Drosophila melanogaster: one gene and its partner. The protein of the gene in region 2 purifies or fractionates together with the protein of the main gene of each other region. This does not show direct contact. Each region holds a gene or a part of one and is shown on either strand. Other genes may lie near its edges.

Region 1 (7,240 bases), about 10 Mb from region 2:
TTAATATCTTTTTCTTGCTTTCTCATATGTCATAGCATACTTTTAAGCACCTTTTCAAAGAAACTTCGAAACTAAATGTTTTCTGTGGAAAATAGCATACTTTAAGGCACATATTTCAAGGATATGATGTTCTGCAGCATTGAAACTCCACAAATGGCTCTTCAATGTGTACATTTAACTGCCGAAGGACTTCTGATCCTTTTCGACGCGTAAAGGATCAACTTGAACTTCATTGTTGTGCCACCATGATGACCGGCGCTGTGTGTACTTTTCATCTCAGCTAACACACACACATACGCACACACACACACACACTGGCCCACCACACAAACATGCAAATGAATTTTTCATTTGCATGTGTCCTTCGCCCAATGAGCGTAAGGACTTGTGGACACACTGGCACAACTGGCACTTTTTGGCAACGTGTGAGGCTGCGAAATCTCAGCTGTAATTGTTGAATAATTCAGTTAGCACGCGGGATAATGAGACGCCGAAAACTGAAAATGAAAGCTCCTCCTTGAAGTTCTCTTCGAGTGTAAGTGTGTGTGGCCATCTAACGCCAATTTATTGATGAACAATGAGGCAGCATTGCAGTGTCTCTGAATTATTCAAGTGTGTGTGTGTGTGAATGTGTCCCTGTGTTTGTGTGTGTGTGTGTGTGTGTGTGTGGGGCTCGAAGCGCGTTGAAGTGTACGCACGCACACAAGCGCAGCGCAGACACAGGCTTTTTTTAATTCATCGAGAGTAGCAGCCGAAATGTTTGGTCCTTCGGTGCGGATTGTGGGGGTTGGTTTTCCTTTGCCCCACAGCGACGCACAGACACACACACCACACACACACACACACACAGGAAAAGGATGCCCGCCCTTAGTTAACTTTTTTGTTAGTTTCCCCGCTGCTGCCTGTTTGTTGTGCTATTTCGCGCAGCTTTCGTAGCCCCAACCACCAAGCAGATTCCCTCACAATTCCCATGCACTGGCAATGACAGTGACACTATCCTGCCACTCCAGTTCGCGAAAAAAAAGATGAAAAGAAGGACGAGAGCTGGCTGGGTCCACGCATTGGAAGTGTTTCATTATATAAAGCCCGCACACATACACATCCTTTCCGCCGCACAGGACGAACGCGAACGGCTCGCAATTTTCATCGGTCGCGTTGTTGGCAGCAGGCAGATCCTTTCAATCGCTCACGTTAATTGCACAGAAATTCAGCGGCGCCCCACGATTTTTTCACTAGCGTAATTTGACGGCGATTGGGCCGCACTTTCGTCCTGTCGCCACTCGGATTCGGATTCGAAATCGCATCCGTAATGCTCTCGATTCGGATTCGACGGCTGCGGCAGCTTTGCTCCGGCGCACAAAACAAGCAAACTGGTGCGGGGATAATTTTTGTATATTTTGGCAAGCAATTGGAATTGTTATTCGCCAGTCGCTTTGCTTCAACAATTTCACTGCATTTGTAATTATCCTTTTTTTTATCGTGGCAATCGGATGCTGCGGCGCGGGTGAAAAAAGTTTTAAACTTTTACGCTGCGTGTTGCTTAAATAGATTTTCGGGCGAAAGCTCGTCCTGCCAAATTCGCTCTCTTCGCGGAAAATCTCTCTCACTGTTAAGCTAACATGTGTCCTAACCGGTTAAGCGAATTCTGTTACGGAATTTGGTTCGAGTCTGGGCTGCAGACTGTTGCATTTAATTTAAAAAAAACCTGATATAAAAAACGAAACAAATAAAATGACTTTGCCATCTCATAAAAACTATTATTCCAATTGATTAACAATACACTCTTTCAATTAAATTGCTCACGTCAGATATATAAATAATTTTATCTTAAGAAGGAGTACAGTTTTAAAGCCATTGTGCCCTGACTAAGCGCTTGAGCATTGGTTGAAAACTTGGCTAGTACCTGGATGTTCAAAAACAGAACTTTTAAAATCGAACATTTCTTTAGAATTTGTTTCTCTGTTAAATTGAAATGTTCATAAGAAGAATAAACCATAGTCTTCTGCAAAAACGTTTATGCTTTTAGATAATAATTTCCAAATTTGTTTTTTATATTTTTAATTATATATCCTTCTTTATTTACCAGTAAAAGCGCTATAAAAACTTATTTGTTAGTAAAACCGCCTCATCATTTTGTTACGCATCATTTCATATTGAATGAAAATTAAATGCAAAAAAAATCGGTCATGTCGACAGAATCCACCGAATCACAATATCATCCTTTTGCCTGTCACCTGTGCACCTTGGGTCACTCCACTGCTGCTCCTTGGCCCACTGACCCGGCTGTCAGTCAGCGAGATGACTCCAGCTGAAATTGCCCTGAAATCGCGTCCAAAAATCAATTTTCACAATTTGGAGCAACCATGTTCGTCGGCCTGGCAGAGATGGGCTGATAACTAAAGTGCAGGGCAGGAGTGCACAGGCAACTCGAAAAAAGCTTAAACACAAAGCTACATCAGTGATCCATCGCCTCGGGCGGCAGGACGATGTTGCAGCCCAGGAGACCGCGTCCACTCCACGTTTTCGGCACCAGGATGAGGTCCAACTGCTGCTCGCCGCGCTTCACTTTCAGCTGGACATTCTGGCTCTGCATGTTGCGCACCAGCTCGCCAATCTGGGCGAGATCTCCCTTGAAGTTGCCGCTATTGATGGAGCCAAAGCGGAGGATGGCATCGCCGGCACAGAGACCCTTAAATGGTAAAGATGGCCCATCTCAATGCTGTGATCTTCGCTTGTTTACTACATTCACTCACAGCTCTTTCGGCGGGCGAATCGGGACTGACCAGATTGACCACCACGATGGCGCGTGCAGGAGCAAGATCCGTGATATTAGCGCCACCGGGTGAACGGTCGCTGTCCAGGTCCAAAGCGGAGGCGCGGTTCACCAGCTCCGGATCTGTGGTGGCAATCTCGCTGTGATATTGGTTGAGCAGCGTCTGGATCTGGTTCATCAGCTCCTTGTGGTCGTTCTGCAGGCAGATGATCGTCTGTCGCGCCAGGCGCACCTGGTAAACGTCGATGTCGTTGCGCGGAAAACCCTCGGCGTCCACCAGTGGTCCACTCATGCCCACATTGTCGTTCTGGAAGGAAGATATCATTATCAATGCTATACAGCATAAACAAAAGAATGTACTCAAAATACAATTGTGTATATACCCTACACCAAAGCATAGGATAATGCTGTAATGCTTGCCCAAGTGGACATACCCTAACCAACAGTAGGGTATTGAATATATCAACATTTGGCTTGGCGGTCCGTCCAAGTTGAAGAACCTGCGATCATGAATATCCACGGTGGTGCGTCACCAACAGCTTGCCACAGTGTGCATACCCTATCCCGGATGCAGGGTATCCCCGGATGAGCAAGCGAATTTACTTACGGCGGCCAGGATCTGTCCGTTTCTGTTGATCTGCGCCTCCAGCTGCTTTTTAGCGTTAATCAGACGCTCCAGGCGCTCCTTGGTCGTCGTCCCAGCGGCCATGACTTCCACTTCGATTCGAGTTATTCCAGCGTTCGTCCCGAAAAATACAAATTTATTATTTTTCGTTAATGTTTTTTTTTTTCAGCAGCGACAGTAGCAACAACAACCAGTGCTCGTGCAGCCCTGGTTGCCCGCGACCAGTGTGACCGTATTGCGGCGAACTTACTTTGGCCAAAAACTAATTGTTAAACAATTTTTCGGAAGGGGAAAAGAACAAATTGAACGGCGAGAGTAAACACAGGAATTCACAAATTTCTATGAGAAACAGATCGCACGACGGTGAAACGAAAGGGGGGAACGCCTTTCCAGCGGACATCGCAGAATAGACGACGGGCGACGAGGGACCTCGAAAAATCGCACGGCAATCAATTCGAGTGTGTGCGAATTGATTACAAAAATAAAGGTATTTCGAGAGGTGAGCGATAAAAGCGCGTGTGTGCCTGGTGAGGATTAGGTGTAGCCATGAACTAACCAAACGTTTTGCAGCCACAGGCAACACAGGGACCACACCGTCCACTCCCATCCGCCGGAGTGGGGCTGCCACCTGCGATATGTGATCATTGGGGCTCCGCGGAGGTTTATGCAATGTTCTAGCTCTCGGCCAGTCGGAGGTAAAGCAGCCGGTGGAGCAGAAGCAGGAGGGGCAGGAGCAACAGGCCAGATGACTGTGACCACCATGGAGGCACAGGTCAAGGCAGCACACCATCATCATCTACATCATCCCACGGGCGGAGGGGCCCAGCACAAGGTGGAGGAGGAGGAGCCGGATCCTGTTGAGGACGAGATGACCGTACTGCTGGCCAATAAGAACTTTCACTATGACGTCGCCTCCGATCTGGACGACGACGCTTTTGTGGAGCTCAAAGAAGACACCGCCCAAGCGGATGATGCGGGCGCGGGCGTTGGCTTCTACAATCCGGATGAACTGCTGCTCGATGACCAGCCACATCCGCAAGTCACGTGGCTGGACGACGACGAGATCGAGACGCTCGATCGCGTGACGCTGGACATGGGTAATATGTTCTTCAATCGCGTCGACAGCCAGGACATCATCTATCAGCAGAAAAAGAAGAGCATTAAGATGGTGGGCAAGTACATAATGGGCGATGTTCTCGGCGAGGGATCGTACGGCAAGGTGAAGGAGGCCATGAACTCGGAGAACCTGTGCCGCCTGGCCGTCAAGATCCTGACTAAGCGGAAGTTGCGCCGGATTCCCAACGGCGAACAGAACGTAACGCGCGAGATCGCCTTGCTGAAGCAGCTGAAGCATCGACATGTCGTGGAGCTGGTCGATGTTTTGTACAACGAGGAGAAGCAGAAAATGTACTTGGTCATGGAGTACTGTGTCGGCGGGCTGCAGGAGATGATTGACTATCAGCCAGACAAGCGGATGCCGCTGTTTCAGGCGCACGGTTACTTCAAACAGCTAGTCGACGGCCTGGAGTACTTGCACAGCTGCCGGGTCATCCACAAGGATATCAAGCCAGGCAACCTGCTGCTCTCCCTGGATCAAACGCTGAAGATATCCGACTTCGGTGTGGCGGAGCAACTGGATCTGTTCGCACCTGACGACACATGCACGACGGGCCAAGGTTCTCCGGCCTTCCAGCCACCGGAGATTGCCAACGGACACGAGACGTTCGCCGGCTTCAAGGTGGACATCTGGTCCAGCGGAGTGACTCTGTAAGCCTTCCTTGTATAATATCATGTATTAAATGTATATACTGTACTAATCTAACGGATTTGCAGCTACAATTTGGCCACTGGACAGTATCCCTTCGAGGGCGACAATATCTACCGACTGCTGGAGAACATCGGGCGAGGTCAGTGGGAGGCGCCCGCGTGGCTATACGAAATGGACGCGGACTTTGCCAACCTGATTCTCGGCATGCTTCAGGCTGATCCCAGTAAACGCCTCTCTCTGCAGGAAATACGCCACGACACGTAAGTAGGAATATTCCTTGATTGCACTTCATGATAACTGATTGTTATAATCTGCTTTTAGTTGGTTCCGATCCGCACCGGTTAAGACCGGCCCACCGATACCCATTCCCCCCCTGAAGGGTGACAAATACCGCAACTCCACGGTGATACCTTACTTGGAAGCTTACCACTACGGCACCCAGGAGGAGGATGTCTACTTTACAGAACACGACGTAAATCGTACGTACCAACATCAATCTAATGCCGAGTGAACTACTTTCATGGTTACCTTTACAGAGGAGCTCGCCCGCCAAGCGGCAGCTGCTGCCTCCGAAATTCGGGCCAAACAGTCGGCGGCAGCCCTAGCCGCCTGCCACACCTACGAACCGCCCTCCACAAGTGCCGCAGCCGCCAGCAATTCGCTGGGCAACGGTAGCAGAGAGGAGGCGCCCGTCAAGAAGAAGGGATCGGCACTGAAGAGGCGCGCCAAGAAGCTGACGTCCTGCATCTCCGTGCGCAAGCTGAGCCACTGCCGAACTTCGTAGGCGCCTTAGATGCCTCCACTAAACATAGATGCTAAGATTTATCGAAAGGAATAACTTTGTTAACAAATTGTGAGCAACTTTTTGGTTTTGTTTTCCCGTTTTTATTCTGTTGTCCTACATTCGCCAAGTATTTGTAACCATAGAATCATGTAGGAAATTCAGGCGCAACCTCGTACCGCCCGAGCAGCAGGAGCAGCAGCGGTCGCATCAACAGCAGCAACAGCCCGCATCAGCGGAGTTGGCTGTGGAATTGGGGAGCTATGGGAGCGACACGAAAGCTATATATCCATGTGACAATACTGTGTATTATATGAAACAAATGAATGCGTAAATTAGTCGTTAATATATTATGATGTACTGAAGGCAGCCGAGGATTGCCGGAGGAGACGGTGCCCATTGGTGCGTCGCACACATAAAGAAATATGTTCAAGTGAAATTGTTTGTTGGCTTCGTTATATTCTAAACTACACACGACGAATGATGCGATTTTCAGGCGCCGTCGGTACAATAACTGCTGGACAGTATTTGCAAGGCCTAGGTTGAGATTTTAATTTTTACAAACCAATGAAACGAAAATAAAAGAACCCATTGAATATCAAAATACAAACACTGCATTTAGTTCGCACATTTCGCACATTCCAAATTCCACACTCAACACTCGCAGACGCTCCATTATTCCATGCACACACGCTCATGCTCACACTACAACATTAGGCTAGCTAACTACGTTTGCTTAATCTATTTCAACGATCTGCAGCCGGGCCGTCGGATCTGGCTCTGAGTCGCCCTCCATCAGCTCGCCCATGATGAACATCTGATGGTAGTGGGGGCCCAGGGTGGACAGCTTACGCTGCATTAGGTGGCGCAACGGGTCCACATATTGCGGCGGCACCTTGGCCAGCTGTGTATTCGTGTTGCGCCAGTGCAGCCCGTTGTTGTCCACGTGAAACAGCGCCGGCGAGGGCACGTGATCTTTAAGATAGTTCCAGATGCACTCGCGCAGCAGCAGGGCAATCTGGAAATGTCATACATTAGTTGGTGCTACTACACAGTTTGGGCAAATAATGGATCTACCTCTGCCGATTCAAAGTGCTCGATGATGAGATGCAGATTGGTGAGTGGAGGTGGAATTAGTTGGCTCATAGCCAGCAGTTGCAGCATCTTCTTGGTGCACAGCATCAGCTCATCGTTCGCAGCAGTGGGCTGGAATCGATTGACTGCAAACGTATAATATGATTAGGCACCTTTATAGAAAATAAGCAAGTAAAGTGACAAGCTCACCATTCTTGC
Region 2 (4,463 bases):
ATCATCATGTACATGAGGCGTCCATTTCAGCAGCCGGATCAGCCGGCACAGCAGCCAGCTGCAGATGACATTGCTGCTGCGCCAGTTAACTTGGCGCCGGTTGGAGCGGAAGCAGCACCTGTAGCCGCAGTGGTCGAAGGTGTGGGCGTCACACCACCTGCCGCCGCAGTTTCATCTCACGATGCTGTGGCCGCGTCCTCCTCTACGGAAACCTCATCAACCACTGCCACGTCCCTTGTCGATGCAGCGTCACAAGGGGGAAGTGGCACGACATCTGCGGCGCCGGATGGCGCTAACACACTCGATCCCACTGGTTAGTCTTAGTAACTTGGTAAATCATCCCTCTAGGTTAATTAGTGTGCGTGTAAATATTTATCATCTAATTTCGCCCGATGTAATATTTTTTATTAATTCTAAAACCGACCTTTTTAGATATTTAAAAAATATCGTACTCAGAATGTAAATGTTGTACTGATAAACCAATGAATCGCTCGACATTTGATATATATTTTTGTTTATTTTAAAAAGGTTGGGTATTGATTTCAGTACGTCTCCCATTCTAGTTACTTTTAAGAGCCGTTGCGATGTTATTTTAAAGGCGATCTTCAAGGGGCAACTCAGATCGAAACTGAAAAATTTTACATTTCCATGGTTTATTTTAATGGGAGCTGACAATGTGAAGTTAAACTGCAAATTTTTAGTCTAAGCGTAGTAGTTAAGATTAGCCTTCTTCTTCGCCTGCACTTCCATGATGGCGTCCATGAAGTCTTCGTGCGTAACCGAATTGGCGGAGCGACGCAGTGCGATCATACCAGCTTCCACACAGACGGCTTTGCACTGGGCGCCGTTGAAGTCATCCGTGGATCGGGACAATTCCTCGAAATTCACATCATTGCTAACGTTCATTTTACGCGAGTGAATCTGCATAATACGGGCACGGGCTTCCTCGTTGGGATGTGGGAACTCGATCTTACGATCCAGACGACCAGAGCGCAGCAGAGCAGGATCCAGAATGTCTACGCGATTGGTGGCCGCAATCACCTTAATATCTGCAGTGGAACTGAAGCCATCGAGCTGATTAAGAAGCTCCAACATAGTTCGCTGGACCTCACGGTCACCGGCCTTCTCCGAATCGAAACGCTTGGTGCCAATGGCGTCCAACTCGTCAATGAAGATAATGGCAGGCGCCTTCTCCTTGGCCAAGGCGAAGGCATCGCGCACCAGCTTGGCACCATCACCGATGAACATTTGCACCAACTGGGGACCTGCCAGCTTGAGGAAGGTGGACTTTGTCTGAGCGGCGCAGGCACGGGCCAGCAATGTTTTGCCAGTTCCAGGGGGGCCGTACAAAAGGACACCTGTAAATGGCAAGGATTAATATGGTTGTGTGACATTTGTTCGAGTGAGATACCCACCTTTGGGTGGGTGAATGCCAAGGTTTTTGAACTTCTCCTTGTGCGTCATGGGCAGCACCACTGCCTCGATGAGCTCCTGTATCTGCTTGTCCAAACCTCCAATGTCGGAGTACTGCTCTGTAGGTCGCTCGTCCACTTCCATGGCTTTTACGCGGGCATCATACTCTGCCGGCAGGGTTTCCAGGATCAAATAGGAGTCTTTGTTGACTCCGACCAGATCACCTGGCTTCAGTTTCTCGGCATCAACCAGGCCGATGACGGGCAGGAAATACGCCTGTCGAGTGGATGTTTTGATGACGGCGCACTTGCCCTTTCGCTGGTTGTCCAGAACGGTGACGGAGCCGTCGTCCTCCTCCTCCTGTGGATCCACATCCAGCAGCTCTATTACATTGGACACCAGGTAGGGCAGTGTCTTGTTGACCTAATGGGGAAGTACTTAACAAATGAGGCTATTTGGCAGGGTGGCGTTTCATTGTCATCCCTACCTTGATCTTTTCGGTGTTGTCCTTGATCTTCTCATTTTGCGCCTGAATCTCGTGCGTTATGCGTATCACTTCGCTCTTCATGATCTTGATCTCGTTGTCCATCAGGCGAGTCCTGCTCACAATTTCATCGGTGGACATACGCATCACCTCCTCGCCCAGGGACTCCTCCCCGTCCTCCCAGATTGACTTATCCTCCAGAGTCTGAGCCATGTCTAATACGATTGTTGATTAGCCGTTGCTGAATGTAATTCTTTGTTAAAATGCTATTATTGCCGATCTTTTTGGGCAAACACTCTGTCGATGACTTGTAAATTTCTTGTTTTTCAGCGGCAAGTAAGCAACACTGAAAAAGTCAGTGTTGACAACAGAGCGCCATCGCCGGCGCTTATCGATAGTGACAGCGATAACACAGCGATAACAATACGGCAGGCTTTACACAGAACGCTCTATTCTGTAAAAGATTTGGCAATTTATATTTTAAAATTGCAAGTAGACTAGTTTGCAATGTCTGAAAATAATGGTAAGCGTAGCAAAACAAGCTGTAATGCTTGCTATAACTTAAAGTTGCCAAATATCGCGAATCTTGTGCCCTTGAAGAGTTCGCAACAAACTGACAAACGAGTCTTGTTTTTTCCCCCTTGTTTCCAGAAGCGTCAGTCGAAACTAACTGTTTCCGAGGTGGCTTCACCTTGAAGGCTTCTCGCCTGGGCGGTGCTGTCCTGCGCCCAGCAGTCTTGGCAAACAGCAGCGGCTCCAACAATAGTTCCACATCCCCAAGTGCAGGTGAAGACAGCGCCCTGCTGAATAATCCGTTTCTGCGCGAGTCCAAGGACGACGACGATGACGAGGAGGTGGTGGCCACCGGATCTGCGGCAGCCGAGTCCACTGGCGACAAGGAGGACGACGATGTCGACGAGCGGCCGGATCCGCTGACCAAGCTGCGTAGCAATGGCATTGAGCGCTCCAGCATGTTTGCAGCAGCCAAGAACAACATGCCAAATGTTCAGTCCAGCGGGTTCGTCTTCGGCCAGAATGTGCATGAACGTGTGGTGGCCCCCAATGCTGAACAGGTCACCGCTGAGCCGGATGCAGATACGGCAGCCAGCTCGGTATCAGCCCAGGAGGCTGCCTCCTCCTCCACCGCTGCTACGTCGTCCTCGGCGCCATTGCTCTTCTCAAGCGTCATTCAGAACGCTGCCCAGACCACAGAGACCAGCGAGGCCGCTGCCTCCTCATCCATTTGCAGCAGCAGCAGCAACAACAAGGAGTCCGCCGAGGCCAAGAGCCTGACGGATGTGGCCCGGGAGTATGAGGAGAGCCGCGCTCAGAAACGCAAATACGAGGAGGTCGAGACCTTCACCGGCGAGGAGGACGAGATCAACATTATCGACGTGAGCTGCAAGCTATTCGCCTTTCTTAACAGCAACTGGGAGGAGCGTGGTCGCGGCAGTCTGCGCTTAAACGACGCCAAGGACTTAAGGGGCGACTCGCGCGTGGTGTTCCGCACTTCTGGCAATCTGCGCCTGCTTCTCAACACCAAAGTCTGGGCCGCCATGGTGGCGGAGCGAGCCAGCCAAAAGTCCCTACGACTAACGGCCATCGACAACTCTGGCGTTGTCAAGATCTTCCTGGCCATGGGCCGACCGGCGGACATTGCCCAGCTACACAAGGCGCTCAGCGAACGGATTGCCAAGCGCAAGGTCTCACATCCCGAGGAGTGTTCCGTAGAGGAAGCGAAAAACGGCGTCGCCTCTGAGGCAGCGGCTAGCTTGCAACCGGAGTCGACGACTCACGACGACGAGGATGAGGATGCTGCTCCCGGACCGTCTGGTGCCATTTCAGCAGAGGCAGACAGCTACGGCCCGAGTCCCAAGAAGGTGATCGTCCAGCCCGATAGCAGCGCCGATGTCCCTGTGCCGCCCGTTGAGGAGGGCGACGAGGATGCTGAGGCCGAGGCCAAGGAGTCAACCGATCAGAATTAACCGCCGCTCGCTCTTGTTCTTTTTATACGATTCATACATGGAGAAATAAAACACTCACAACAAACACTAATTAATAAAGCGCGCCGTGAATTATTATAAATTAATTATAATAATTTATTAATAATTATTATTATTAAAAATAAAATAAATGAAGTGCTGATTTGTAAACCCGTGAGCAGCGTCGACAAAAGACATTTATCCATTACGCTTTGTGTTTATAATTTTTTGTTAAAAATGAAAACCGAAATTAAGATATCGATATCGATCGTACACGCTCTAATTAAAAGTTTTAATTTAATCACTATACAAACCCTATGTACTACTTTTCGCTTAGGAAATAATTTTTACAAGTTCAGCGCTTGCACTAGTCCTGGTCATAGCTCCACTGACTGGCATCTGGTGTGGATTCCAGCGGATCATCACTCAGTATTCAGTTATGTATTGGTAGAAAAAAATAGCGTTACGACGAAAAGTACAATCTAAGTGGAAGTAGCAGCAGGAGTGGATATCGAATATCAACCCATCCTATGCCCTCAGCATTGGCTTGGAGCGATTTGCCGATGTGGAGGACGCTGGCTGTA

Evidence for each region.
Region 1: the proteins of Rpt5 (region 2) and CG9588 purify together in Drosophila melanogaster (affinity purification with western blotting; 2 studies listed by BioGRID, with this or other methods). This does not show direct contact.

Annotation. Positions count from the first base shown.
Region 1 is NT_033777.3:13,673,048-13,680,287, forward strand, and holds CG9588 (uncharacterized protein), read right to left. Parts: upstream 3,635-7,240; 5' UTR 3,483-3,634; coding exon 3,381-3,482; intron 3,081-3,380; coding exon 2,754-3,080; intron 2,690-2,753; coding exon 2,456-2,689; 3' UTR 2,045-2,455; downstream 1-2,044. Other genes in the region: Lkb1 kinase, read left to right, coding at 4,063-5,165, 5,232-5,426, 5,488-5,645, 5,703-5,950; omd (oocyte maintenance defects), read right to left, coding at 6,684-6,965, 7,025-7,167, 7,232-7,240. UniProt on the Drosophila melanogaster protein: Acts as a chaperone during the assembly of the 26S proteasome, specifically of the base subcomplex of the PA700/19S regulatory complex (RC).
Region 2 is NT_033777.3:23,750,661-23,755,123, reverse strand, and holds Rpt5 (regulatory particle triple-A ATPase 5), read right to left. Parts: upstream 2,249-4,463; 5' UTR 2,111-2,248; coding exon 1,901-2,110; intron 1,837-1,900; coding exon 1,416-1,836; intron 1,359-1,415; coding exon 703-1,358; 3' UTR 501-702; downstream 1-500. Other genes in the region: Hrd3 (HMG-coA reductase degradation 3), read left to right, coding at 1-318; RanBP3 (Ran binding protein 3), read left to right, coding at 2,405-2,420, 2,549-3,882.